Drosophila melanogaster: one gene and its partners. The protein of the gene in region 4 interacts with the protein of the main gene of each other region in a pairwise test. Each region holds a gene or a part of one and is shown on either strand. Other genes may lie near its edges.

Region 1 (6,611 bases), on a different chromosome or scaffold from region 4:
ATAGAAAAACAATAAGTGAAGCAAATCGCGCAAAAATGGCAGACTTTGAAAGCAATACGAAGCTGCGAGGCAAAGTGGAATGGCCGATAAGATAACGCATCGCCATCGAAAAAATAAAAAAAAACAAATATTAAACTATATTGTTTATCACAAAGCAAATGTCAATATATTTACAAACGCCCCGCAAATCAGTCAAGTTTTATAGAAATAATTTTTATGTCTCTATAAAGAGAATATTTTACGCTAAAATCGAGAGAAGCTTCTTTAAAGGATCAAATTTCTCAAATTTGAACCGTTATTTATTCTTTCATTTTCACTCTTTTCTATGCTTACAATGATATATTTAAAAACTAGTTTTTCAAAACCATGTCTGTTACGAATTTAATAAAGAATTAAAATAATATATTTACAAAGCTTCTATTGCTAGATCTCAGATTGCTTATAGTTTTATACATTAAGTTAGCCTCAAATAAATAAATAATATTAATAACCTTTTTTTTATTATAAATTTGCAATAAATTGCAATTTGGTGCAATAAATTCCATATTTTACCCAATAAATATTAAATATTTTGCAGTGATTTTGATCGTTAGAAATTTATTAAAATATTGCTTAGGCTCATGACAAAGTTGCTAAGATAAAACTAATACTTTAATAGCACAAATTATGCTAATTAACCACAATTTAATAGTATGAATCATGAACAAGTGCAAGAAACTGACTTTATTCACAACTTTCCTTTATCGCTCGAGCAGCTTAGAATATGTATTTTACTTTAATTCGAAGTTAGTGAGCCAGCCCTGATATTTTGCAATCTGGTTTAGTGGCTTCACGTGACCGACACTCCGATTGTTAGTTTGCTTACTAATTGTGTGATTTCTTGCAGATTCCAGAACAAATCACAATGCGCACAGCTGTTTTGCTGCCACTTTTGGCCCTGCTGGCGGTGGCTCAGGCCGTTTCCTTCGCCGACGTGGTCATGGAGGAATGGCATACGTTCAAGGTGAGTTTCAACCGGATCATCTAGGGATCATATTTAATTCGCCAGGCCGAAGAGGCAGATAACAAGTGTTCTCCGGTAACAAGGGCTTGATGTGTAATGATGATTAATCCATTAATTTTTTTTTTGGGCCTTTGTCTTCTGTCCGACTTTGTTTGCATAGTTGGACGCGCGGCATTCTTCCGTTTGTGACGATTCCGCACTTCTGACTTCTGAGTCAGCAGCCATTGCGAGTGTGAATGCACTGCTGCGCGGCTGCCTCAAAGAGACGGAAGGAGGATTCAGATAAGTCCAAAAGTCTAGGCTGTCGTCCAGTCACATGCCGGCTCACATGACCGCAAGCGGCAAGCTGGGCTGCTTTGCTTAGCCCATCCGTAAACATCGGCTGGATGGGCAGATAATCCAAGTCGTTGTGTCGCCCACTTTCGCTACGCTCGCGGTTCATTTCCCGCCGATAAGCCGTGCAAGACTCAAACTGGTCCACTGCCGGCCGACTGATAAGGCGCGGGTCGCATATTTGCCATCACACTTTTCGCAAGCCATGTTTCCTAATGCGACTTCGATTTTTGCCCCCTTCTATTGCATATATATGTGTGTCCATGGTTCCATTGATGATTGGGCCAATCATCCTTTGTCTCGCAGCCTTCACTTGCAACTTCGTCTGCTTATCAATGGTGGATTGTCTATTGATTAATTGAATGCGCCCCTAGTGTCGTCTAATTCTTATCGCCAACAGTCAGGGGTCGTGATTTTTTCCATTATTTTACTGAATAGTTCCGTGCCAAGCGTCATTAGCCCCAAATGGGGGCGTACAAATAATAATTAGCTGTTTGTGCAGAGATCTCATGTGATAAGGGGGATATATGTACATCTCTATATATGCATATTGGTTTAATAACTTTGGATATTTTGCCTTTGATGGTTTTATATTCACTTTTCGAATTCAAATTCAAATGCACCCGCATATGCAATATATGCATATAACTTTATTTCCCTTCCTTTTTTTATCTGCTGTTAAATATCATATTCAATTGAGTGACTCATTTGTTAGAGTAAGCACAGAGTGGTGTATTAAATTATTGTTTATAAATAACAAAGTCTGATCAACTGAAAGAATAGGAATCATATTTATGGAAAGAGTTACTCATCCTTAATTAAAAATAAAAAGAAAATCAACTAAACATTTGCAATTTCCCCACTCATATATTATTTACCTAACTAAATTTTCTTTGATCATCTAATTTAGTTTAGATTTAGTTTTCTTTTTTTTTTCAAAATAAACTCACAATTACTTTACATTTGCCATTTTACATTTCGAGACCGTTAGGTGTCATGTAGAATACTGCAAACGCTCGGTCACACTGCTGCAAACAGTGCTACCCATGCTTGCTTGGGGAATGAAAGGCGCGCAATTTAAATGTGATAACGATGCCAACCATTAGCTCTCACTGCTTATAGTTAGTTAATAAAAACGACATTATCTGTAATGTGTGTGCAGTCCAAAGTGCCACAGTTGTCGGTTGCAAATGCACAGCTGCAAAAGTCAGCGTTGAGCAACTGTGGCACTGATAAGCTCTAAAATTCCAGATTAATGCGTTTTAATTTAAGCAGCTATTCGCATAGTTCGGCAAATATTCAACAACAATATTTAAGAACAAGTCGTGCGGGGGGCCGCGAGCATTTTGGAAATGACGCGCTACAAATCGGCGTTGCTTATCAAATTGCCATTTTTCGCTGGCATTTCCGAGAGCCGAAAGAGATTTCTAGCATTAATTCCCCGAGTGACAAGTGCACAAACAAATCGGCTGCCGTAAATAAACAAGCTGGGAAAAATTTCGCTGACTTGCAAAAGCAGCATGCGGCTCTTTTCTTACATTTTTTATTAAAGATACATAAGTTTCTGTTTTTTTTTTCGTTTTTTTTTAAATCTGTTACTTCTGCTAACCGGTTGGAGCAAACATATTTGAATAGCTCGCCTGAAATCCTTATAAATCAAAATGAAACCGGTTCGCCTTTTTGAGCAAACCCACAATGCGCGCGCTGCAAAACAGAAGGAAATATACGAAAAAGCATAAGAAACAAGAAATATATAGAGTACGCCCGCCTGCCATCCTCCAAATTGGTTGGCCTACGTAGATTGGGCTCTCATTTCGATTTCGGCGATACGAAGAAAGAGTGTAGAGTGTGTTGTGTGCGTGTGTGAACTCGGCTCTTTTTCGCCCCGCCGTCATGCGATTGAGTTTGCGTTTGCGAGCGGACCACCACCATCACCACCACCACCACCAAAAGCGAAGCAGCCAGCTCTGTCGTATTTTTGTTATTCCCGAACCGACGCTCCACGCCAACGGAACGCTCGAGCAGCCAGCGGCAGGCAGTAGCAGCAGCAGTGCAGAGCGCAATATATAGAACATTTGAGAGAAAAGAAATAAAAGGAGCCAAGTCAGACGGGGCCCCCAGCGGTGGTAGTAGAAGTACGGAAAAGCACGCGCGTCATCGTAAAAAACGTGCTACGAAATCGCAGGGAGACGGGCGGTAATAGCAAATAAATTACATAAAAACCACGGAGGAGCAATCACAGCATAAGAATGACCGATACCAGTGCAAATAATTTGGATGTATCGGTGGATGTGGTCTGGCCGACGATAATTGTCCTGGCCATGCTGGTCATAAATGGCTTCGTTTTCGCCTACATTATGCGCAAGCGGCGGGAATACAAATGCCAGGAGGAGGAGCTGCAGCAACAACAACAACCTGTTCCACATTCCTCCTATGCGGCCACTTCGACAACGGAACGGCATGCGGATGCGGATCAGGAGGACGATAGCTGTGCCATCGAGATGGAGCGACTGTAGGGATGGAGATCGCACTAGCTAAGCTCTCTGATACTCAACTACTATCGTCCAAGCTTCTCAACTGCAACGAAGTTTCCTAAGCCACATATGTAGTATATCTAGATTGATAGATACAAAACGTATACGTCGAGTGCCTGGATATCACATCGGATCGCACGTGCATTTAATTACGGTGTTTTTAAGTTGTTAACTCTATCTGCATATATCGCAAATTCAAATTTTCTACAAAAGTATACAATAAATGTGTGAATTTTATCATGCGGCAACGAGAACCAACGACGTTTGCAAGGAAAATCAATAGGTCAGTGTGCCGGGAGGCGCCTCTTTTCTGCCGTTACCACCTCCTCCCTCGAAATCACAACGGGCGGGGTTTCATTTTGCTGCAAGACTCGAATTCGATTCAATTATGTCAATTATAGGAGTCAACCACGGACCAGTGGACCCCATCCGGTCCATTTGGGGCGACAATTGCTGATGCTGGTCCGCTTTGATGTCCAAAAGTAATTACACATGCATGTTTCTCACATGACAGCGCCACTCGACTGTTCAGTTCAATGTGCCAAGTACCCTGGAATATTGCAAAATCTACTAAGACTTGTGGTGAGCCACTTAAAAAGCGATTAGGTTTGGGTTTATACCCATATTTCACTGAGAAAACATGCCACTTTGAGTGCGTTGAAGAGTCGCAAAAAAATAACCAGTTTAGCAATAAACACTTTTGGAAAATGCATTTCAGTTTAGCATGTTTGCTATTTGGATATTCGTGAGCAGTAATAATGAGTTTTGTTGAATAATTCTATATACTTAACTTAACTTTCATAAACTTTTCGATTCTATGCAAAGCCGCTAATTTGGTATTCAGACAAGAGGAAGTCAATTTTTATTCACAAATTTCACTTTGAATCGAAAACTACCCCCATATAGTGGCATTTGCCGAATCTAATGGATAGCAACCTAGTCGACTTCTTGCCCTGGCCTTTCAATTCCCTTTATAGCTATCATTTGTTTAGCGTTCGTGCTATTTTCGTGCTGTGGCTGTGTCAATATGCGGGTCGGACTAACAAACAACCCCGAGCTGGGAGAGGAGGTCTCTTATCCACGGGACCACTGCAGGCAGATGGAGCGCATTTCCTCGTGCTGGCCTCGCTTCTCCTATTCCTACCTGCAGTTTGGCTCGTTTGTTTACTACCTGGAACATTAACACCCGTTTCAAGTTCCTGTCGTTGGGCAATCGTTAAACACAATTTTATGACCATGTTTTATAGATTTATAGAGCTTGCTACTGTGGCCGTTCCTCTAGAGCGTTTCGCTCGTGCCAGGTTGACGGCGCTGTGATAAGGTGTAATCTGCAGATTAAGAACTTTTGCCTCAGCGATCGTAAATCCATTTTACGTAAAACATTTTATTTGATTTTTAATAGAGTTCCCAAAAATGCGTCTAAAAAGTTAACTTTTCATTTGGTTGGCTTTATCTTATCTTGAAACAAGTACACGAAAGTCAATCGATAGTAGCACTTACCTTTGATAAGAGTGCATTATCTAACTAATACTAATACTTTTCATTATGCAGCTGGAGCACCGCAAGAACTATCAGGATGAAACCGAGGAGCGTTTCCGCCTCAAGATCTTCAATGAGAACAAGCACAAGATTGCCAAGCACAACCAGCGATTCGCCGAGGGCAAGGTGAGCTTCAAACTGGCGGTCAATAAGTACGCCGATTTGCTGCACCACGAATTCCGTCAGCTGATGAACGGCTTCAACTACACTCTGCACAAGCAACTGCGGTAAGTTGGGATCGTTAAGGATTATAATGTGCACATATTCAACTTTGCATTCGCTTTCAGTGCCGCCGATGAAAGCTTCAAGGGAGTCACCTTCATCTCGCCGGCTCATGTGACGCTGCCCAAATCTGTGGACTGGCGCACCAAGGGAGCTGTGACCGCCGTCAAGGATCAGGGACACTGCGGCAGCTGCTGGGCCTTCTCCAGCACAGGCGCCCTCGAGGGTCAGCATTTCCGCAAGTCCGGTGTCCTCGTCTCGCTGTCCGAGCAGAATCTGGTCGATTGCTCCACCAAGTACGGCAACAATGGATGCAACGGCGGTCTCATGGACAATGCCTTCCGCTATATTAAGGATAATGGAGGCATCGATACCGAGAAGTCCTATCCCTACGAGGCCATCGATGACTCGTGCCACTTTAACAAGGGCACAGTCGGAGCCACCGATCGTGGATTCACCGATATTCCCCAGGGTGATGAGAAGAAGATGGCCGAGGCTGTGGCCACCGTTGGTCCCGTTTCCGTCGCCATCGATGCCTCCCACGAGTCGTTCCAGTTCTACTCGGAGGGCGTCTACAACGAGCCGCAGTGTGATGCCCAGAATCTGGATCACGGTGTGCTGGTCGTTGGCTTCGGCACCGACGAGTCCGGCGAGGATTACTGGCTGGTGAAGAACTCGTGGGGCACCACCTGGGGCGACAAGGGCTTCATCAAGATGCTGCGCAACAAGGAGAACCAGTGCGGCATCGCTAGCGCCTCCAGCTATCCCCTGGTCTAGAGCAGAACTGATGTAGTTTAGCCCCAGCATTCATATGATATGATTTAGAAAAGAAACAGAAAAGATACCAACGCAAGCATCTCAAAAATGAACTTTAATAATTTAGCCCAACCTCATATTTAATGAACTAATTTTGTAATGGGTCCATTGTATTCGCGTTTCTCTGCCATCATGTATGATATAGGTGAACAACAAATCTGTTG
Region 2 (8,383 bases), on a different chromosome or scaffold from region 4:
GTGCTGCCAACCACTCAGCTGTTTCAGGTTCTCCTGCTCCACAGCTTGCCTGTCCCCTTAACCCATTTCACCGTCGTCTTTTGGGCAACTCCCCCACTTTTCCCCCCTTTTTTTGGTGCGCACAATTACACAACAACAATAAAAAAAAGAGGCAGCAGGCAACGAAAGCTTGGCTCCGTAATCAGAAAAACGTAAAAATTTCTACAAGCAGGTAACGAAAATATTTGAAATTGCTTTTTGCCTTTGCCACCCCGTTGAAGGACCCTTCGCCCACTCCTTGTTTTTTTTTTTTTACTTTTTTTTTGCCTTTGCTTTGGCATTCCGTCTGTCTAATGGCGTATATTTTAGGCTACGGCTTCGGTTTCGTCCTGTTTTATTTGTTTTTTCCTTTCATTTCGCCGTGTCGCTTTTACTTACTGCGAAATCTTAACGATGTTAAGGAAACATCTTCGCTGGCATTCCTTGTTTTACTAGCACGCAGCGTCTTGATAAGGTTAATTGCCCATTTTTGTCATACCCTTCATAACTCAGTGGGCATGCTAATAACTCCTTCAAGGACTCTTTGATGTAATGTCGTCTGCTGTGACAAGGGTATTTTCGATTCGATTCAGCTGCGAATTCCATTTGCTTTTAGCACATAGCCAACCGTCTTTTGGCTGTTGAACATATCGAATTCTGATTTGACGCTCATCGTCGGCGACATAACACAAATATTTGGGAACACAGCAGGCGACAATATTTTGCGACATTTCTGCCAGAGGTCATCGGAAATTGAAAGGGGAAGGAGGTGGAAACTCGATATGGGAATATCAAGCTAATGATGGATACTTGTTGTCGCATATTAGAGCAATATGAATGGAATACTGAATCTAAGTGAGCTCATTGACATGGCAACCTTACAGAGAAGCTTCGCACAAAAAGGACCCATCATGTAGGTAGTTTCGAAATTTAACAAAACCAAATTAGATCCTATTACTAATGGCATACGAAAGGCCAAACGAATACGAGCTAAAACTTTTTACCAGGACCTTAAAGGATTAAAGTTTACAAGATACTATCCAAACTATCCATTTTAATTTATGTACCAAAAGTAAAAAATATTTGAAGATTATCTAGACCAAGAACTCAAATCCTTATCAATTATGGTTCATGTCCGTACGAACAAAATAAATTCTTCAAGAAATACAAAACTCATTTGTTTTTACATTTTTACGATTGCCCATATTGCATAGAATTGGTTTTTTATTTGTTTTCGCTTTGTTCTTATTCAATTTAAACAAAAAAAAACTTGTTGGAAATACAAATTTGAATGCAATAAAGTTGTGGTTTGCGTTGCAAACAGTGTGCATTTGTTTTTTTTTTTCACTACCCTTAAGCCATTCCCTAACAAACTTACCACAGAAACCACAACAATTGCAGCTGGCAAAACAAACAGGGAATGTCAAAAACAATGGAAATAGCCCGAAAAAATAGCACAAATTGTCCAACAGCAATAAACTGTAAATAATAAAGTGTAGCAAAAGTTGTGCTCTCATCGAAACTAAACATTTTTCTTGCAATTAGCGTCGGAAGAATGAAATTGAAAAACAACTTGTTTGTAACCATTATGCAAAACAGCAGCGGAAAAAGGCAAAAGTCACAGTGGCCCACGGAATCCTTTGAAGTTGCCCAGTCTAAGGACAATATTTCGAAAAATCTTTGGAATGGGCGGCACAAGGACGAGCAATAAAGCACAGAAGTGGCAGCACGGCGAACGGAAGTCAAAATGGAAATTATGATAAGAAGTACGGAACTGGACAGTCATTAAAATGGAACTGGTACACCGAATTATGTAGTCAGCGAAATAAAAAAGAAAAACGAAAAAAAAAATAAACAGGGAAAACAAAACGCAGCTCACCCCAAAAAGGGTGAAATATGTCCGCCGATGTTAAGTGCTTCATTTAATTAACAAAGTTGACATGAAAGCACGGTGCCACACTTTTCGTTTGTTCACCGTGCCGCCTTTTATCAATACCCTAACTTATCAAAGGTCACATCCTTTGTTGGTAAGTGAAGCTTATATTCGTAAACAATTCTTAGTGTCTGTGGGGAAAAGTTTCAAGATTATTTTTAGAGCTGATTGAGGGTTATATTGTTAGACAGGAAAATTAATCACTTTTAAGGGTATTCAAATGAACCTGCCCCATTCACAGTCCTTCAGCTTTAACTTGCCTCCTAATTGTTTGCCTTTGCTATGGAGCAAAGCTAAACAGATGGCACCACTTGAGCCGCAGCACTCATACGCCAGGTGGGCCACCGTGGAATTACTTGCTTAATTTGATTTGAAATTTGCATTCCGCTACAGCTGCGTGTGTGTATGTGTGTGTGTGTGCTATTGACACGGATTTTGCATAAATTTAATTAGCCAGCCGCGACTGAACAGTTGCCAAATTGAAGTTGAGTTTTAATTAACTGCGGATGTACCGATCCCATCGGCCTGTTGCTGTTTTTGTTTACGTTTTTGCTTGGCAGACACTTGTTATTCTATATACCCCACTAGGCCATGCAACCGATCCAAGCCAACCAACCGAGCAAAAGCCATAAAAACAACAGCTGCACATTTCGCAGGCAGCGCGGTTAAATGATATACGGCAGCAAATTAGACGACATATTCCATTTAATACGCGTAATACTCGTGTACGTGGCCATAATAGTTTGGTACGATAAGGAAGCGGTGGTCATTAAATGCGCCCAAGGCATCCACATCATCAAAATATTACGGCCAGCTCGCTTGCGTTGCGTCAATATTTGTTTGCCATGATTAAAGAAAATACGCATTACGTATACGCCATGTGCGCCGTTTCGACTTTCCGGGATTTATCCTAACAACAAATGCATCGTTCGCCGACTGAGTGCGAACATAAATATTGATTTGCAAAAATTGCGTGAATACTTTATTGCAATAATAAAACGGATTTTATATCATCGATTCGCCCCTTCAGTCTGATGTTATTACTTTCAGCCGGACATTCGCAATCCCAAAGGACCCTCAGGTGTAAATAATACATGTATTCACTATTATATCGCACATATGTACATATGTTAGTCGTGCGCGGAATTTACAAGGATTAAATCAATAATGAAGACTGGCATGAATAATTAAAGAGCATTGAATGCTTTGGTTGTTATCATTAATTGCACTGCGAATGTCGCTGGCAGACTGTCGATTTATTAACCATTTCGAGTGAATAGTGCAAAACTGTTTCAAGGACTCACCTGGTGAATGGGAATCCTTTTCCGTTTCGGTTGCTCTCGAGTTCGCCTTCAACTTTTATGGCTGCATAAATTGACACGCTGCTCCGTTTTGACCAGAACACGGAATTTCTGATGCAAATTGCTTCTGCTTTCAGGATTTTTTTGTTGTACTTTTTCTTTTTTGTGTTAGTCTACTTCGCTTTTATGCGGATCTCTTTTGTAATATTTATTTTAGCATAATTTTCGATTGTGCACTTTTCGTATTTGGTATTTCTCATGTCGTTTTTCGTTTTTCATTTCTCATTTCTCGCTTTCCGTTTCAACTTGAACAAAACATTGAGAAGCATATTTAATGGGGCATGACCAAGGCTGAGATCGTAAAACAAATGGTTATGTCCTGTGGCCCCCAAGTGCAGTGTGGTGTAGTATGGCGTTCAGTGTGTCCGTCCTAAGTCCTATGTGGTGTATACTGTGTCCTGTGTGCAACAGTTGTCGTGGGATTTATTTTTTTTTTTTTAAAGGGAGTGTAATGGTTTCGGGCAAATGGATTTTTATTTTATTGCCTGGCAATAAAAGGCGAAACTGCAGGCCGCGCAACAGTTTGCAATTATGTGCAAATGCAGCGTGACATAAACGGGCGGATCCCGTCGGTTGGCCCCTTTTATCCTTCGTCGTTTAGCTGCAAGCAATTTGGTTTTAATTGCTGCTGCAGCTCCACCTCTCTCCCAATTTAATTCAATTCAATTTGTTTTAGTTTAGGGACGAGGAGTTTGCTTTGCTTGGCTTATTCGTTTCGTTACGTTTACGTTTCATTTGGCACTCGCGCACTCACTTTCACACCGCCGTCGGTTTTGCTCTAGGATCTTTCTTTTTCTTTTTGGGTTTTTGTTTGATTCGATTGACTCCTGGCTGGGAGACTGACTGGTCCCTCGGCTGCCGACTGGACTTCCTCTGTTGCCGCTGGGTGAATAGTGCTACTACCTTCTGCGACGCCTGCCCACAGCGAACTGAGCTGCTCCAGTTTCGGTCTTTACCTTATAAGCCGTGCATCCATCGCACTGTTGCTGTTGCTCCTGCTGCTGCTCCTGTGCTATCCTCAATGCGAGTCCTGCTGGCTGGCTTGGCTTCCAGCCAGCCGTTGTCCTTTGATAAGAGCTGGCAATGGTGTGCGTGAGAGCGCGAGAGCCGCAGAGAGCGAGAGTGTGTGTGGAAAGCTCGGTCGGTTCAGTCTTCAGTTTTTCCCAACATCCCGACTCTCTTCAACAAAGCTCAACAGGGAGTTCTACCGTTAGGAACATTTGAATTTCAAATTTTTTTTATGCTTTCTGCAAAGACTGACATATTTTATTTAATAAATTCAGAATATATAGCATAAGTTTGTGTCAAGTTAAGAATTTAAATTACTATTGTGTTTCCTCTAGCATAAAACAAAGAAGTTTTAACATGGTCGTATAAAAAAGATGTTATTTGTTATAAAAATATTCTTTAAGAAATATTTGTCTAATGTTTAAGTGGTTAATTAGTACTTCAAACCTTAAAATTAATTTATTCAAATTTAACTTCAATGTTTTGATGAAATTATTTTTTTTTAAATTTTTTTACCATTTTAAAAGTATATTATTAGTCTTTTAATAAACATATTGTGAATATCATATGCGTATTGCACTTTCAAGAAGATTTTAATAAGTATTTATTATAGAACTATAACATAATGGCACTTCTTTGGGCAATACGAAACTTGCTCTACCAAAGCTCCGTCTGTTACTACGATTATCCGCTGCTTAATGGTGTGGGTTGGTCATGAATGAATTCCCTCCTGTTGCATATGTTTTTACGGCCAAGGATGGTAAAAGGGGGTCGAGACTTGGCCTAGAAATGGAGCATACGTCCAACCGAACCACCCACCCACTCACACACCCACACACACACACGCACACAAACATATGGCTCTCCTCTCCGTGAAGTTCAAGATGAAGGTTAGTGCCGAAAACTCGAAAAGCTGCGAAAAAGCTTTCGCTCTCGCCGTTCTCTCTTTTGTCGCGCGCTCTTCAACATGTTGCTCTTGTTCGCTCCACTTCGATTTGTTTTGTTTCCCTTCTGCTTTCCACCATGGCGCCCCAAAAATTATGATGAGCTCCATCAAGCGACGGCGCTTAGCGCGCGTTGGCTTCCTTCCTTGGCCACTCACCACCCAACGCCCAGCAAACGCCACAATCCGAACCGAACCACTCGCATCCTGCCACTAAAGATTACACACTAAAAAAGTTCAGCAAACGTATTCCCAATTATTTCATAAGAAATAATTTTCTCTTAATAAATAATTATCACAATTTTTAACATGGTATAAATTCATGAAACTAAATTTAATGAAACGGTATAAACATTTCTAGATTAATCAACTTTATTGATTTTTTATTGTAAAATATCAGTAATATATTTTTTAAAGTTACTTTTGCTATTTTTGCTTATTTTTTTAACATGATTTTTTTGAAGTGTACACCGATAGCAACCAAAAATTGTCAATTGCAAAATTGCATATGCAAGGACTACACATTCCTCTTAAATACCCAAAATAGATTTCCATGTTATTTAGGAATTTAGTTCCGCAATCTTTGTCTCATGGTTGGCATTTTCCTTTTCCAACTGCGGCTGCCCGAATCCGAGACCGAATCCGTGCGGAACGCTCCGCCACGACGATGACCCAGAACCCCGCCTTTCGCCAGGCGACCCAATTTCATGCCTCCACGTACACGGCGCTCAGGAACGGAGAACGCAGAACGCAGATTCATCCAACGAGGTGGCGGAAGGGCAGCACTGGTAGGCAGTGTGTGTGTGTGTGTGTCCGGGCATCGAAGGCATTTTCCGTGCCCACAGATCTGCAGTCGCACCCATACCTTCCGCCTGATTGGCTTGGGGCTTTGGCATTTGCGAGTCCTGTTGGTCCTGTGGGCCTTTGCTCCATGGAATGGAGGTGCGAATGCGACGCATTTTTGCATCATGCATTGTTGGCCGGGAGTCAACAGACGTCAGCCAGGCTGTGATTGATTGTTAGCTCGGAAGGGCATAAAAAGAATACGAATGCCATTGGCAACGGAATTAAGCAGCTTAAATAAGCGACAATATCGAGAAGGTGAACAAGAGTCCTTGTCGCAGGACTGCGGGTGCTTGGGGTGGTAAGTATGTACTTCGTAACTAACTATTCTCGTTTCTCTCTTGGACTGTGAAAATGATAAAAGTTTTGTGCGTCTCTACTGCTTGCCAGCTATCTTTTCTTAATTTGAGTTGGGCCAAAGCAGCCAAAGTTGTTCGCTGTCAATGATGTGAACTTTTGAACTTTGATTGGTTGCCCCAAAAACACACGCACACACCCATACACCCATAGACGGTGAGGATTGCACACCTTCAAGCGCTTTAATTTTAGGCTTAACCAGCTTTTAGTTTGGCTTTTCAAAGCAATGCCAGAATATTGTGTAATTAGTTTAGATATAAAGCCGAGATTAAATTACCATAATTAAAATGCCAACACAGTAAAGTGTGTAATTATTTAAAATGTTAGCTAACTTGGCTTCGAAATCCGTAAAGAGCTTACTGAATTAATCCATTAAATTAAAAAAAAGAACTGCATGTTTAGTTTGTAGACAAGCAAGGCAAACAGAATGTTGCTTGATTAAAAATACAAATAGCCAAGCAAATGCCTCAAATACCCGACCCACTTGAATGGAATGCAAATTATATCCTTTAGGAATTTCAGCAAAATGCATTTGCCCAGCTTCATTAGTCGGCTGGGAAAGACAAAAGCCGGGTACATTGCAGCTCCACTTTAATACCTGCTTGCCTTTTAATTCCAGGATAAAGCGCAGCTTAAGGATGTTGTAAAAGGAGTCGTCGACTGTCGGGCAGGGAATGCAAATTAAATGGACGGAAAACAGCTCTTGAAGTGCCACTGATTTTCAGAGCGATCAAGTCAACCACCGACACAAATCACTTTCACTAATTATCCCTTTCCACTGATGACCGCCCAGTTATCTATGGAGTCCGGCTTAAAGGCTAAAGGACACGCAGAAAAAATTAAGCGGAAAGTCGCAGCTGGTATATTAGGTTCTTCTTTCCGTAATTCAGGGAATTATAATGTATGTGCGCCATGTTCTAGTTGGCAGCAAAAGGGTTTGACTCCTCACATACAGTATCTGTAGTCTCGCTTCGTTCTGCAGCGAAATCCAATAAATAAAAGTGAAATGAAAAAGCATAGCATACTTTTGCGGGCAGTTCAAGGTGCGACAATTTGTTTTTGGCTGACCAAGATAAAGCGAGTCGATAGTCCAACTAGCCACGTCTGGAACAGTGGCCACTCCCCGAATCCAGCTGTCTGCTCATCGGGTTTATTCTTCTTTTCTTTTTTTTTTTTTGGTCAACCACTGGCTGTCCGACTGGCGACTGGTGTGACTGGGTGCGCCAACGTATATTTGCCACCTGAGGTCACGAAAACGTCGCTTACTCTTAGTGGCTGTGGCTTAGTTTAATTAAAGTTCTCTTGAAAATTCGACGTTGTTCGTATTATGGCCTATTTGTTTGGCCCGACTGGCTGGACTGCCTGCCAGTTGAAACGGCGAATTGAGTAATTTATTTGCTCCCTGAGCAGCTGCAGCAAATTGTGCACACGTGGCGTTTACGTGTTGTTCACCTTTAATTGTTCATGCAGCGCTTGCAATTTCAGTTTATGGCATCATTTGCACTCCTCCTTGCTTGTTGTGGCATATTTATATTTTCATAGCCAAAACAACCAAGTAAAAAAGTTGTCTCTTGTTTTTTTTTTTTGGCATAGCTCTCTTGGCGTCTGCAAACTTTTTGTCACCTAAATCATTTAGTGGAATATTGCTGGGGCTGTAAAGCAGTCAACATTAAACGAAGTGCCTGGTAAGCACCAACCGCTGAGAAATTGTGAAAATTTAGCACTGCTCATTATGAAAAGAGCCATAAAGTGGGTTAAACTGCGAAGATGCAAGACATTGAGTCTGGAAAAATATGGCTATAACGCTGGAGAAGTTTCAAGTCTTAAAGGTGTCGCCAAAAGGTAATATTCACTGATGCATTTAAATAAGCATTTAAAGTTGTCAGTTTGCAAAAGCACTTAGCTTTTCTCTGAATTTGA
Region 3 (8,621 bases), on a different chromosome or scaffold from region 4:
GCTGCTGCCTGCGAAAAGTCCACGAGCTTCAGCAGCAGCAGCGCAAAAAGGAGGAAATGGAAAAGTGTCAGAACCAGAATCCAGTCGATGACTTGCTCACACCGAAGGCCAGGGAACGCTCAAGTCAAGAGCAGAGTAGTGACACCTACATTCAGAATCTCTCCAATCGACATCCTCGTATTCGACGTTACAGGCATTCAGCTCGTTAAATCTTCACTTTTGGTTACTACTTAACGTTAGGTTAACTTTGAAATATTTTAACTAGAAAAAATTGGGTCATTTAGACAATGGAAAGTGTAAAAAAAAATAACAAAAATATGTTTATGCGAAATAAAAAACTAACAAAACAATAGATTTTTTTATAATTGCAAAAAAGGTTAAAAAGCGAAAATTGAACTTATTATTTACCAATCACTGTGTTTTCTTTGGAAAACTAGATGGCCATGAAAAATTTGTTCTGTCTGATTATTTCTCTTAACTTATTGCAATCGAAGTTTATCTGGAATTTGAACGAAACACAGATAAAAATATCGCAAAAATGTCGACACAAAGACCCAAAACCTTGTCGACTGCAAAGGAGTCCTTTCGAGCGTCCGCGGTCAGCGCAGACAGCCGATCCGAGGTAATGTCCCACAGTGACTCGGATGAAGAATGGGAGCCTGGGAATGAGGATAAGCCGGCATCTGATGTCACCATCTATAACTACTACAACATGGGACCAGCATTCGGCAAGAAGTTCCCATTGCCGTACATTCGCTTGATGATAGCCCAGGTGGTCAAGGAGAAGCTGGCAAACAAGACCTATAATCAATCGGAAGCCCTTAAATGGACCCGCGAAGTCGCCGATGACATAAACATTAAGATGAAGGGACGCGGCTCTTCTCCAAGATTCAAGCACGTTGTGAACGTAATGCTTTACCAGCAGACCGGAGCCGGATGTTTCTACGGAGCTCGCGCCATTTGGGATGAGCTGTCCGATGACTACATAACCTTCACCTTTGATGGTGGCAGTTTTATCTGCATTGCTGCCGTTTTTGGTTGCTATCAGTACTAGGTTGATGTACAATTAATCAAATATAAGAAATTTTTTAGTATTATGCATTTGCATAAAATGAACGTGAACTGTGTTGCATTTGATTGATCATACAACACTCAGAAGAATTCCCTCCAAAATTTCAAATTTCAGTGTTACCCTATTGGTTTTGCATTAGTGTTACCACACCCACTACTCAACACAATCAGCTGACAGCCGCTCTGTATGGCAACACTGTAGCACGCACATGTTGTTTATGTTCGAAACTCACGATTAATTTTATTTTACGCCGCAGAAAAGCTTAATAAATGCAATCAGGATGAAGGTGAAAATGATTAGTCGCAATCCGGATAACTATGTCCGAGAAACCAAACTGCAACAGCACAAAAGTAAGTTCATATACGAAGAAAGACCAAAGTATTATAAGAATGCCACTTTCAGTGCCCAGGAACTACGATCCTTCGCTGCATCCTTTGGAGGGTCCCAGGGAATACGTGCGTGCCCTGAATGCCACCAAGTTGGATCGAGTATTTGCCAAACCCTTCGTCTGCAATTTGAGCGGGCATCGCGATGGAGTCTCCTGCTTCGGAAAGCATCCCAAGCAACTTTCCACCTTGGCCACCGGCGCCTATGACGGCGAAGTGCGCATTTGGGACTTGGCGAATCGTATCAGCTCTCGGAACTTTGTGGCCCACGACGGTTTCGTTCGCGGCATTGCTTACACCCAGAACGGAGGTCGCATTTTCACCGTGGGAGATGATAAAACCATCAAGGTTTGGAAAGCAGAGGCTCCGGAAGTCGGCGAGGATGAGGTGCCGGTGAACACTATACTGAGTAAATTTGGACTGCACGGCATCTCGCACAATCGCAGGGATAACAAGTTCGCCACCTGTGGCGAGGTATGCGCCATTTGGGACGAAAGGCACAACGATCCTTTGAAGACATTGAAGTGGGGCGTCGATACCCTTCACACCATATCCTATAACCCCGTGGAAACAAGCATCCTGGCGTGCTGTGCCAGCGATCGCAGCATTATCCTGTACGATCAGAGAGAGGCGCAGCCACTAAGGAAGGTCGTCCTAACCATGAAGAGCAACAAGCTCGCGTGGAATCCCATGGAGGCGTTCAACTTCACAGTGGCCAACGAGGATTGCAAGTGAGTAAAACGGCCATACGAAGAGGATGTGTTGCTAAAATCTTTATTTCTTACAGCCTTTATACCTTTGACACTCGCAAGCTGCAAACGCCGCTGAAGGTTCACTTTGACCATGTTTCCGCTGTCACCGATGTTGACTACTCGCCCACTGGCAAGGAATTCGTCTCGGCCAGCTACGACAAGACCATTCGGATCTACAATGCCCACCACAGTCACTCGCGGGATATTTACCACACAAAACGCATGCAGCATGTGGTCTGCGTGGCCTGGTCCCTCGATAATCGATACGTTTTCTCCGGCTCCGACGAAATGAACGTCCGCATGTGGAAGGCGAATGCCTCCGAAAAGCTGGGCGTCATCCGTCCACGTGAGCGCGTCAATTTCAATTACCAGGAGGCGCTGAAGCAAAAGTATGCCGCTCATCCGCAGATCAAGCGCATCGCGCGCCATCGCCAGGTGCCGCGTCACGTGCTCAATGCACAGAAGAAGATGCGCACGGTCAAGGAGAAGGAGCAGGTCAAGGAGGCCAATGTGCGCAAGCACACCAAGAAGAGCAAGAAGGTGCCCTACGTCAGCGAGAAAAAGAAGCATGTGCTGAAGGAGGAGGTGTGAGGATGATTGCTAACGACTGTAGTTGGATAAGTTTGAATAAAATTGATTTTTGTAAGGAGACTATGTATGTATATATTAAGAAGCCTAATCTCAATTGAGTTTCTCACTTTCTATCATTGTTCTCAAGTGACTTTCAGTTTGGTCAAGTCAAACCGAAGTTATCAGTGAATTTGCTTAGTTTAAACTATTGTTTGGCTTTAATTCAGTGATACTAGAAGAAAGAAGATGTTGATAAGTTCTAAGGAATACTCTCCTGTTGCTCTAGAGAGAAAACTCATTTGCTTTGCCATGCAGCAACGTTTCGCGGAAATTTGAAATTCAATTCGTATCCGATAAGCCCTCGCGGGCGATAACGTTTGGGGAAAATCGGAGAGACGCGTCCATTTCTAGGGGATTCTCGATTATAAAAGGTTGCCAGCCCCACCGTTGGTGCTCAGTATTTGTTCGTTTGTTGTTACGGCAGCCGCCAGTCGGTCGTTAGTTTTTGTTTTCGTTCATTTGTTTATACTCGCGCGGCACTCGGCCCCCCTCCCGTTCCCACATAACCCGTTTGAAAGGCATCAACTGAGAGTCATTGAAATCATGGAGGCACTGGGGGATCTCTTGGCGCCACACAGCGAACTAATCGCCAAGGTAGCCGGCACCATAACTACCCTGCAATTTCTGTCCGGAGTGGTTCTGATGAACGACATCCGCAAGAAGGGTAGCAGCGACGTCTACCCGGTGGGCCCATTTCTCTTCGGAGTGGTGCTGTAAGTAACCTAATTGGGATTCCGTGATGCTCCACTGCATGCGACATCGAAAAAAAAACTAGTGGGCAGGGGGCAGGAAAAGCGAGTGAAAAGAACAAAAGCCAACGCATCTGTGTGGGAATTGATTAAATTTTAGAACTGTCGCCATGACAGCACAGAATCGAGTCTCTTCAAGGCCGCCAGTGAATCGGTTTTGCACACAATTCAAGAAGATAACAATGGAATCGATTACATCACTGCGTTGGCCAAATGGGAATTACACTTCGATCATCCGCGACCGTTACATTTCGAAATCGTTAACCTTGTCGAAAATCCGCCAGCAGCACTTTTGCCGCCTTATCGATGCGAGAACCCTCCAAACACGTAGCTCTTATCTAGAGTGTATAATTTTAGAGCTCCTCTATTACGAATGCTGATCCGGTAGAGTCTGTCCAAATCTGGGAGAGCCGCTAATCGTTTATACGACGGGCGAAAGATACGCGACTCGCCCTCTCCACGTGCTCGGCATAAAGCGGGGCTGCCCAGATTCCAAAGGGGGTGGGCCACCCAGTGGTGGTGATGGGAATATCTTGTCATCTATAAATATAATCTTCTCTAATTATAGCCGTAAGGCTTGTCCATTACTGCATATGAATAATAGTGTTTGCTTAGCAAAACATAATATTTTTTTAACTATAGTTTCCGTAATAATACATTTCTTTAAACAATTCCAAATTCCTGCTGGCTAAAGCACTAAATGTAGATGAACTCTCGAGGAATTTACCTTTTTATTTTTAAATCGTAAACTTTCCACTGTTTGTTTTGAACATCTCAAAAGATCATAAAGTGCCATATGGCAGCAAGTGAATGAGTACCATCAAGTGAGTGTGCCATCACTGCGCCGGGGCTTACTTGGGGGTGGTTTTCCGGAAGGTGTTAACTTGGACTGTGTCAAGTGTAAGGACCCGCAGACATGCAAGCGAAGCAACAGTTGTATGCTAAACGAATTCCACTCCACCCAATGGGCGCTCGAGGTCTCGGTCAAGGGCAGGTTCCTCGGCCAGTTTGCATTTCATTTCGCCCAGCCCGGGTGTATTTCACCATTGTTGTGGGTTTGTTTATAGGTTGATCGATGATAATGCTGATTATTTGTTGAGCGTTGAGCTCCTTATCAAATGCTACGTGTACCATGATTTGCACGCCGGCCCTATTATGCTTATTTATCTATCTCCACCTAGTATAGAATCTGATAACGCAATTAATAAGTGTAAACTGGTTTTTTTTTTCAATGAAGTGGTAGACTGGAGCACTTTAAATGAAAACTAGTTCCATTTCTCTTGATTCGAACTTTCTGTAGCGACTTACTGCTGGAAAACTGGTTCGGGCAGGGTCAATTAATTTGAATTAATTATAATATCCTCAGAAAACTATGCTCTTATCTACAAGTTAACTGGAATTTATAAAATTTCCAGCCTTATATTGAAGAATATTTTAAAATGAATATGAATGGTAACAGTATTACATTTTTGTTTAAATATAAAAACCAAATTTTGTCCTAAATTAAAGTAACTAATTAACAAATTGTTGAACTTTCTAGGACCGTTCTCAGCTTGAAGCTGGCCAACATTATGAATGATGCTGCCATGATCAATACGAATTTAATCGGCCTGGTGATAAACTTCGTCTTCCTCTTCGGATTTTACTACTACGCCTCGAGCGCCAGCAGGAGCAAGATCTGGAAGCAGATTGGCTATTCCTCGGTGTTCCTATTGGCCATCACCGCGTATGCCAACTTCGAGGATCCCGCCAAGATTGAGTTCCGCCTGGGAATGCTGATCACCGGCATCCTGGTTTGGATGGTGGGCTCTCCCCTGCTGCATCTGCCGAAAATCATTGAGAAGAAGAGCACCGAGGGAATGCCGTTCCCGATTATCTTTGCCGGTAATCTGGTGGCATTTTCCTGGACGCTGTATGCCATCTCCATCAAGAATACTGTGATGGTGGTAAGTTAGCAATTAATTCTATTAAACGAGAATGTAAATTTGAACCGAAAATTCTTCTATTTCAGCTGCAGAACCTTTTGCTGCTGGTCCTGGGCGGCATTCAGCTCTCCATGTTCGCTATTTATCCCAACAAACCGGCTGCCGAGAAGCCCAAGGACAGCAAGAAGGACAAATAATTGAAATCGAACGCTTTACCTAGAAAAAAGGACAAATAATGGGTTGTTGCAACAACATTACCAAGTAATAAGTAGCTAGGCTTTGAGGAATAATCAAATTATTGCTTGAATTTACACTAAACCGCCACAAGAAAACTAAATTTGAGCTAAACGAATTATTTTTCTATATAGGAAATATTTTCTTAGAACAAATCCAGCTAACTAAGTTGCTAGCTAACCTAGAATTGTTATTATATTGACTATTATTGTATATAACTACTACATACTTGCAATTTTTGACAATAATTCAAATCTTCCAAATGCATACGTATTTATAAAGTCAACATAATATGTAATAAAACAATCTGTTACAAAATCGAGTGAGTTGATGGTAAATGCCATTGGGCATTTCCCGTTTAGGCTGCTGGCACCGTGGAATTGTAGTGGGCACCCAATTGGTATATGTGGCGGTGGTAGCAGATGATCAGCGGTGATCCACCGAATTCCTCTTGCCCCAGGAGCGTCGGTGCTCCTTCCGCTTGGATAACTTCAATGGGCACCCGGAGTAGCGATGAGATGGCCTTCAGTTCTATGTGGCCACCCCAAGCGTGAGTTTTTGCTATGTCGTGGCAGTATTGTTCGAATTGTTGGTCGTTCAGAATGTCTCCTGTTTCCGGGTGGATCATGTATGAGATAAGCGAGTCCTTGTGAGCACGCACATAATTGGCAGTTTCCTCCCGCAACTCCTGAACACTGTGACCTTTGGTGCAATTATTATGGATTAGTTTTGGTGCTGTGTGGACTGAATCGTGAAGCATTACCTGGAAGAGCATTTACGATAAGTTGGTGTCTGATGGACTGATATAAGCAGTCGCCATCGGAGGGTATATTGTGAAGGGATAATTGGCGTTGGGATAGCTTTGCTGTAATCTGCTGCAGTTCGATTAACTTGGGCGTTGGCTGATTGGCAGCATTTTGCAGCTCCGTCTTGATCTCTGCCTCTCGTGCACGTGCCTCCTTTGCCTTCTTGTCCCGGCGTTTCTGTGCCTTGGAAACACGCTGATTGGGCGCCAGCTGTTCCTCTTTTTCCTCGATTCCATCATCGTCTGTCACTTCAGTTTCTGGCTTTTCCGCTGGCTCTTTGACGACCGGTTCCACCAACACCGGTGCCTCCATGGCTTCCGCTGCCTTCAGTTCCGCCTTGTGGCGCTGCTCCAGCTCTCCCTCCAGGCGAGCCATCTCCTCCAGGAACTCCTTCCGCTTGTTTTTATTATTTTTCGGCGCATTCTTCTTCATGGCCTGCAGCTTGGCCTGCAAATCCTTGCGCTCGCGACGATGTCTGGCACCTATGTCCTCCAGACTGACCTCATCCAGACGGGATTCCAGCTCCGCAATTGCCACATCGCCGTCACACATGTTTTTTTATTTAATAAATAACAATAAACTTAATCCTGACAAAAAATTATTTTGGCAGGTTTTGGAAGAGTGACCAGCTTGCGTTATTATATACCGAAAGCTGTCGGAAATATCGTCACCGTTATAATATACTTTATTTTACTTTAGTATTTAGTATTTTGACTGTATGGAAATAGACCAAGTTTAAATTTGAAATTTCTGTAATATAGTGAATAATCTTTAAATAAACTAATTTATTTCTTGTTATATCATTTGGGATGGAAAATTTAAACAAAAATCTAATGTAAGTAAAGAGGGTAATCTCCATTCATTGTTACGCATCACACAAAGTAAATTCTCGCATTCCCTTTCCCCCCATTAATTAAACTTTTAAAATATTTCTGTTAAAAGCGAATATAATTTTGTTGATTTTAATTTTATTTATGCTAAACATAAATCGTTTTATAGTGAGAAACTAAATACAGGCAACGCCAGTGGTGAGAAATCGGCTCAACCAATTCCTTTTTTGGATATTTCTAAATCTTAACTAGAGTTGACGTAATAAAATCCAATTATTTTAGTATGTACAGGCAAATATTTAAACTGGAATCGGCATTTACAGAATTAAGTAAAACCAAAATCGGTTGCAATTAAATTGATGTTAGTTTGAACCTTATACTTTATACAATTCACATGAGTGTTGTTGACATTAAAAAAAAAATGGCAAGCCATCCAGATGACACGTTTCTTATAACTCTATAACACATTCTTAATTGTAAATCAGAAATCGTATTATTTACATTGGCCAACGGCGACGACTCTCAATTTACTTCATATACACACTTATATGCGAGATGAACCTATGCCAAGATTTGCCACCACGGTGGCCTCCCAACCACTAACATCCAAAGTGATATTTACTTAGTCGCTAGCCGAAAACTAAGCAAGTCTCTCGTCACATCTCGTTTCGCCCACTATCATCTAGTGTGATTTTGCCCATGTCCAGTCGAACGTACATGCACAGAAGGAAGCACTGACTATCTAGGAATTGACAAAGATCAGGCTCTGCCACTCATTCGATCCCATGCGATCGGTCCTACAGGCTTTTGGTTATGTTCTGGAAGAGGCGACGTCCCCACCACGACTCCAGGTCGAAGGGCTTGAAGTCCTGTAGCGCTGGACTCGGTGGCTCCACCCAGACAGTGGCTGTCGAGGCAGCGGGCACTGGGCTGTTGGCCATTATGCTTTCCACTGGACTGGCGGCGCTGTTGTTGTTGGCATCCGCTACAGGTTTCTCAACAGGCTTGGCGGATGAGCTCGAGTCGTAGGGATTCTGCGCCACCAGCATGTTCCAGGCTGCCAAAAAGTAACAAAAGTAAACCACATTTATTAAATACTTATAAGTACATCTTTACAATCATATTTCCGACTTACAGTCATTTATGTAACGTATTATTTCCTCATGTTGCGGCGTTATCACCTCATCCTCGATCAGTTTGGTTGGCGTTATCCGCTTGGTGGCGAAGCTCTGTTGAA
Region 4 (6,522 bases):
GGTGTTAACTATTAACGAGGTTAAGTGGCGCAATTTGAAACCACATTTGAAGGATTTCCCATGGTTTAATGGTGTGCATTTTTAAGCACCCTAGTGCACGGCATTTCTAGTACTTGGCTTAATAATAAATGTAAGAACAAACTTATAGACCAATTAGGTTCTAGCAATTTATCAAAACGTTACGACGTGTTGTATTCTTTCTAAGGCGTAGAAAATAGCGAATGGGAAAGCTTCTTATTTATAATTCATTGTTTGAGGTAATTTACTATTGAAGGTTTATCACTTAAAAGCGGAAACAGATATGGCTCAGACTTTAACCTAGGCATTATATGTAGATATGAAACCTATTTACAAGTTTTATATTTCTCTCTGAACTCAAAATAGAATTAATATATAGTATTAAAGATATACTGCTGTGCAATATATAGGAACAAAACTAAGCTTCCAATTATAATAAATGCAATAAATTAGTATAAATTCACATGAAACCCTTACCTCCGCCGACGAGAATTACCTCCAAAACTCGATTGGCTTTAAAAAAAAAACCGGTAATAGAATTGTAACTCGCCTGCTCAAATGTTGTTTAATGATTCAACGAGCGCACTTTCGTTTATAATGAATTCAACCAAAAGTCCAGTTTCCAATTGCGATAGCCCAATATCGCAATATCACAGTTCACACGCACAGCTCGAACACTAAAAAAACACTGAGCCAGCTGAGAGGCAACTGCTAACTGCTAACTGTAAACCAGTTCGACTTCAAAACAACAACTAAGTGCCGTTCGCTCTCTTCGCCTTCTCTTTTCTCTCCCGCTTTCTTCTCTCCACCTCTTCACTGCTTTGCTGGTCAATCTAGCCTTGTGTGCGTGAGTGTGGGTGCGCCTATCACGATGTACAGGTAAACTTTTATTATTACTAAATGTCCAGAAGTCTTTAATTAAAATAATTACTTATTGCGACAATAAGTAAGAAGGTGAAATGTAAGACTTCCCAAATTGCAATAAGAACAATAGCTGTGAGAGCAATAATAATCTTCAGCTTTTATCACTGAGCGGAGCGACATAAGCAAGCTGCACTGTACTTCAGATGCAATGTTGTTGTTTCAGTTGTTGTAGCTGCTCCTTGGCTTTCACACGCGAGTTGTGGGTGAGCCTTAATCACATTTATTCGATGGTGAGTGGAGAAGGAGGTGCTGAGTGGGCGAGGGAGCGGCGCCGAGAGAGCGAACGAGCGGTTGACATTGACAACCCCCCTTTTTTGCTGTTGGGAGCGGGCGCACGCCCATGTGTGAGTAGGCTAATATCGCTACACTTCGAAGTTTCGTTGAATTTGCGCTCTGTTTTGTTTGCTTCTCTCTTTATCGCTCTGCGCTTTGGCTCTCCCGTTCGCTATTTGTTGTTAATTCGAATACGAATATAACTTCTAGTTTTTATGGTGCCTTTGCGCTCGGTTTTATGACAAAACCATTTTTTTTCCACTGCGGGTAATTAAGAACTCGCTGGCACGAATAACCGAACCAATTCAATGTGAATCCACAGTGGAGGCGATCGAGGAACAAAAACAGTCCGCACCATCATTTATTAACGCCAATTGTCAGTTCAATTCATTTTCTTCAACTGCTTCTGTGCGAAGAAACCGTTTCATTGCGTCACAAAGATGATTATGCTCATATATTATCGAACTAATGGGGGGAATTCAAAATTATATAGAGCTGTAAAACAGGAGCCAGCTAATAAATCGGCTAGTATCAACTCCTTATAAATAGCCTCTTTACGCAATACTATTGAATACAGAAAAATAAGCCATCAAAGTCAGCATTATTTGCAGTGTTTGCCGACCACTTCCCCGATAAGCCATACATATAGAGTTACGTAACTGGAGATCGGCGACTCGAGTGGCCGGGCTTTGGCTTTATATAGCTAATTAACTGGACGATCGACCAGGAGCACTTGTGTGCAACTCGGCAAAATACTATACTTCAGATGTGAAATTGCTAGATTTCTAGAATCGATCAGATTTTCCCCATTCATAAACTGGGTCTGCGACTGTGGCTAATCAGCGCAATACTGATTGATCGATTGGAAGTGCCATTGGACAATTTATAGAGCGATCCATAAATCATAATCGACTGGTATTTATTGTGCGCTATTCGCAACTACTCGAGCCCAGCTTTTAGGGTTTCCGTTCCAGCTGGAGATCTTTGTGGGGACGCAAGGCTTCTGGAAACCGAGACCCCGAGAAAAAGATCACATGATAGAACCCCCCCATATGATTATGATGATTGCATAAAACTCGAAAACTCGCGACTTTGCAAAGAGAGCGCGACTCACAGATACTCTGGAGAGTATTATATTCACATGACAAGGGTTCGACTAACACACACACACACTGCGAACGTAGTAGGTGCGTACCTGAGTATCTCAGAGATACTCGGGGCTTACGAAAGAGATAGCGCTACGCGTATCTGCCGCTCTGACTTTAGCTGCGACTTCTGGCAGGTGTTTGCACAATGGGTCCCATGACAGGTGTGCCCCGCAGCCCCCAGTAAGCTCACTTTTCCGACCAGTAGCTGTCAGCAGCCAGCATCACGTGCCAAAGTGCATTCAAATTGGGCTTAATTGCACATACTCCCTGCTGCCAAAGCACGTGCTTTGGATGGCTAGTTTACAGGGGATATGGGATATATACGGGTGGATAACCCGTGGCACAGCTTTTACACCTCGAACCCGCCGGGTTTTTCCAGTTGCTTCGAGTTTTTTCGAGTTTTTCGCTTACCTTCACAGCTCCGAAAACGCTTTTTATGTCAAAGACACACCAGATTCGATTCCCCGCGAGTGCGAGCGATAAATTTAGAACTTGTTTGTTGCCGAGCGAGAGTATCTTTATTCGAATCTGAATCTGAATGGAGCGCAGCACACGTCTGCTCACCGCCAGCGATCGACTGCGTTTAAATTTGGCACTCGCTGCCGCGACTTCGGTTCGAAAATCTCGCGATCGCCTCGAAATGCCTCGCACTCTCTGTTACTCAGCACACACACCCTGTGAATTCAGGCGGCTCTCTCGGCGCGGGCATGCCAACTATGTATGATCGGTGACCGTTATCGCAAATCAGAAATCGACAAATACCCGTACTAAAGTCAAAATCCTCGAGTGCTACATGTGTCTACCAAAAAAATGGTCAGTTTCCAAAAACCTAATCACTCTTAGGATCACCCAATTAATCACCATTAATATGTGATATTTTTGCAGTAACTAGATGTGCTTGTTGATAGTGAGGAAGCCAATCTCAAAAAAAAACCAATTGAACTAACACTTCTTACAATTTAAACTTTTAATTAGAATTTAGAATATAAAATAATATTAAGCTAATTTGGTAACAGTTTCATTTTAAATTTCAACTGTTTTAAGTGCTGTAAAGTGCATAAAGTGTTAACAGGTGGCTCCACGCACAACGCGTTAGTACCTTACCAAATAGCGTTTTCACTGCACCGCTCACCACGGCCACACTCTGCCTTTGTTTTGTTTTGATATTCCCACTGCATCGCATTTAATTTATTAAAAGCTGTTACCAAATTATGTCCTACGCCGGCTATAGCCAGCTGCCCAGCGGCAGCGACCAGGAGCGCAGGCAGGCGCAGCTCGCGGCCAGCACCTACGACGTGCTACAGCGGACGACGGACAGTATCCAGCGATCCAACCAGATTGCCATCGAAACGGAGAACATGGGGGCGGAGGTAATTACCCAGATAGTAGCCATTAACAGGGCTAACTAATGCTCGCTTACGCATCAACAGGTACTCGGCGAACTGGGCGAGCAGAGGGAGTCGCTGCTACGCACCACGCGCCGCCTGGAGGACGCCGATCAGGATCTGTCCAAATCGAGGGTCATCATTCGGAAGTTGAGCAGGGAGGTGCTCTACAACAAGATCATCCTAATCCTGATTATCATTCTGGAGGTGGGCATACTCGTCGGCTTGCTGGTGCTGAAGTTCGCTCACCTGTGAGCCAATGCCATTCTATTCCAAAGTCGTAACCACCAAACAGGCGATGGACTATATATACCTATTAATCGTTACGAATTCTTTGTCCTAGTTAATAAGCTTATAAATGTATATACTCCACTAAAATGCACTTCCAATTCAAAAAGGTCAGTTTTAGGATATACCCAGCGATGAATCGGGTGGTTGATTATGTTTATTCATGTTGGCTAAAGCGTTAATGCCTTAGACGTCTATAATATGTATTATGGTAGTAAAACACAGATAAAATCGGGTCTGGACATCGGAAGCTCTGCACTCCGAAGAGTTTAGCCCAGTCCCAACGCATATACATACGTATGCTATAACAATGATAATATGTAGTTCGTGCAGCACGCTATGCCACGACTATTTGGCAAAAAGCAACGTTAATTACATTCAGTGGGCGACAACGAGATAGTAGAACATCCTGAACAATGTCTGCATAATACTTGATCTATGATAAACGGTTACATATATGTAAGTATGTGGGCATCGCTTTGGGGATGCTTCTTTGTTCGAGAGATGTTTGGGATTTCGCAGAGCTGCGCCTCCTCATTCCTTTGGTGCAGCAGCTCTCCGCTTCAGTTGCCTTCAATTGTCCTTCGGAAGAACGATGGACCAGCCGAAAACGCGGCGATCGAAGCCGCAGGAGAAGAGATCGCAGTCCAGCAGCGGCTCCTCCGCCCACGCTACAGACGACACCATCCGTCGGTGGCCCTGCCGACTGGTCCGTGGCAATCGGGCGACTCTCTGCCCGTTCAAATCGAACAGTCGGATCTGTCGATTGTCATGCGGTATGGCGATAATTCCACCAGTGGAGACCGCCAAACGATTGACCGAGGAATCCGTTCGAATGGTGGCCAAGGCGGATCGCATGTTGCGCAGCTCCCAGACCTTGATTGTACGATCATCTGATCCGGACACCACCTTGTCGTCGCGTGCGAACACACTGGACGTAACCGTTTCCGTGTGCCCTTGGAAGACGGAGACCGCTGGGATTGCCTCTCGGAAGTCCCATAGACGGAACGTAGTGTCCCTGGAAGCGGTGACCACCAGGCGCTGGGTGGGATGTGCCGACACGTGGGTGAGCTCGTGGTCGTGCCCAGTGAGCGGCTGCAGTGGCAGGCCAGTCTCCACGTCCCACAGGATGGCAGTCCGATCCCAGCTGCCCGTGATGATTTGATCCATCGAAGAGAGCCAATCGGCGGCCACCACGACTGAAAGATGACCGCCGGGGCCTGTGAACTCGCAGAGCGGAGTGCGTAAGGTGTCCACACGATCGCGATCTTCCACCTGCTCATCACTGTCGTCCAGTTCCTCCTCTGAAGAATGGCCCTTCCTGAAAATCATGCAACGATTATTGAACTACTATAAAATATATTGCAAAGTTACTCACTTGGGCACTTCCCAGTTGACGGCCGCCTGCCAGATGTGGGCAGTACCATCCCCGCTGCCGGTGAGCACAAGATCTCGCTGCTGATGGAACTTGATGGAGTTTACGGAGCCGGCGTGCCCTTGGTACTGCAAAAGGCACCTGGCGCTCTCCACGCCCCAGATGCAGGCCGTATGATCGGCGGAGGCGGTGCCAATGATGGGTTGTCCCGCCTTGGCGGCAACCTGCCAGATGCCATCCTTGTGGCCGCCGAATTCTCGGACCACCGTGCTGACCACTGTGGGCGCCTTAAAGCTGGACACAATGCGGCTGGTTTGGGCCTTGATCTTGTTGCTGGCCTTGGCTTTGCTGCCGCCGGTAGCGCTGCTTAGTTTGGCCTTCAAGCTCTTGTGTGTACTGGATGCTGCAGCCAGGAAGCTGCCCGCCACCTCATCCGTCTGGGTTGCAGGCGTGGCCAAAGCTGCGGATGAGGCCTGAGTGCTCATTGAACCTCCTGCTGCGGATCTGGCATCGGGTGGAATCAATGACTCCTTGGTGGTGGTGGCTATGTCTAGCTTCTCCTGCACTATAACAGAGAATAGGCTTTAATCATGCGTGCACTATACAAAATTTGACATATGTAAGCAATAAATATTAAAGTTTATGAACGAGACCTTAAGGAGTTGTGGATTATATAGCTACTTACGGGCCTGGTTCTCCAGATACAGCTGCTCGAACTCCCGCTCGATCTGGGCGAAGAGGACGTGCAGGCGTGCACGGAATGGTGCATCTTCCGGTACGGCGGCCACGTCCTCCGTCAAACTGGTGAGGCGCACAGCCCGTGTCTTGCTAGCCTTCATGCTTTTCTTTTCGCCTCTTTGTTGTGTATCTCGCAAGTGATTTTCTGAGCCGAGCTGGTCGGCGATATCCGTTTCCTGGTGGGCAGAGCGCCCGGGGGAATCCAATTAGTGTTCAGGGGTTGCAGACTCGCGCTCTATTGATCCATCTTCCGCTGCTGGCGATGCATTTGCCTCTTTGGCTGACTGGGGAACTGCTGTTGCACTTGGTTTTCGCAATGATAATATACTTATTGCAGGTGTTTTTGTGCGCGGGGGGAGCGGGCGGAACAGCT

Evidence for each region.
Region 1: the proteins of Vti1b (region 4) and CG42806 interact in a two-hybrid assay, tested with the Drosophila melanogaster proteins (one large-scale study listed by BioGRID).
Region 2: the proteins of Vti1b (region 4) and unc-13-4A interact in a two-hybrid assay, tested with the Drosophila melanogaster proteins (one large-scale study listed by BioGRID).
Region 3: the proteins of Vti1b (region 4) and CG7272 interact in a two-hybrid assay, tested with the Drosophila melanogaster proteins (one large-scale study listed by BioGRID).

Annotation. Positions count from the first base shown.
Region 1 is NT_033778.4:13,961,334-13,967,944, forward strand, and holds CG42806 (uncharacterized protein), read left to right. Parts: upstream 1-3,319; 5' UTR 3,320-3,585; coding exon 3,586-3,852; 3' UTR 3,853-4,122; downstream 4,123-6,611. Other genes in the region: CtsL1 (cathepsin L1), read left to right, coding at 887-1,003, 5,422-5,636, 5,697-6,408.
Region 2 is NT_037436.4:7,308,674-7,317,056, forward strand, and holds the start of unc-13-4A (unc-13-4A), read right to left. Parts: upstream 4,224-8,383; 5' UTR 4,067-4,223; intron 3,558-4,066; 5' UTR 3,256-3,557; intron 1-3,255.
Region 3 is NT_037436.4:15,497,708-15,506,328, forward strand, and holds CG7272 (uncharacterized protein), read left to right. Parts: upstream 1-3,230; 5' UTR 3,231-3,383; coding exon 3,384-3,553; intron 3,554-5,129; coding exon 5,130-5,535; intron 5,536-5,600; coding exon 5,601-5,711; 3' UTR 5,712-6,062; downstream 6,063-8,621. Other genes in the region: CG13455 (uncharacterized protein), read left to right, coding at 1-209; CG7276 (uncharacterized protein), read left to right, coding at 539-1,054; CG7275 (uncharacterized protein), read left to right, coding at 1,353-1,422, 1,475-2,189, 2,246-2,801; CG7857 (uncharacterized protein), read right to left, coding at 6,107-6,450, 6,512-7,106; CG7841 (uncharacterized protein), read right to left, coding at 8,182-8,441, 8,520-8,621.
Region 4 is NT_033777.3:18,396,218-18,402,739, forward strand, and holds Vti1b (vesicle transport through interaction with t-SNAREs 1b), read left to right. Parts: upstream 1-3,491; 5' UTR 3,492-3,574; coding exon 3,575-3,733; intron 3,734-3,793; coding exon 3,794-4,003; 3' UTR 4,004-4,122; downstream 4,123-6,522. Other genes in the region: Wdr37 (WD repeat domain 37), read right to left, coding at 4,610-5,357, 5,415-5,976, 6,097-6,250.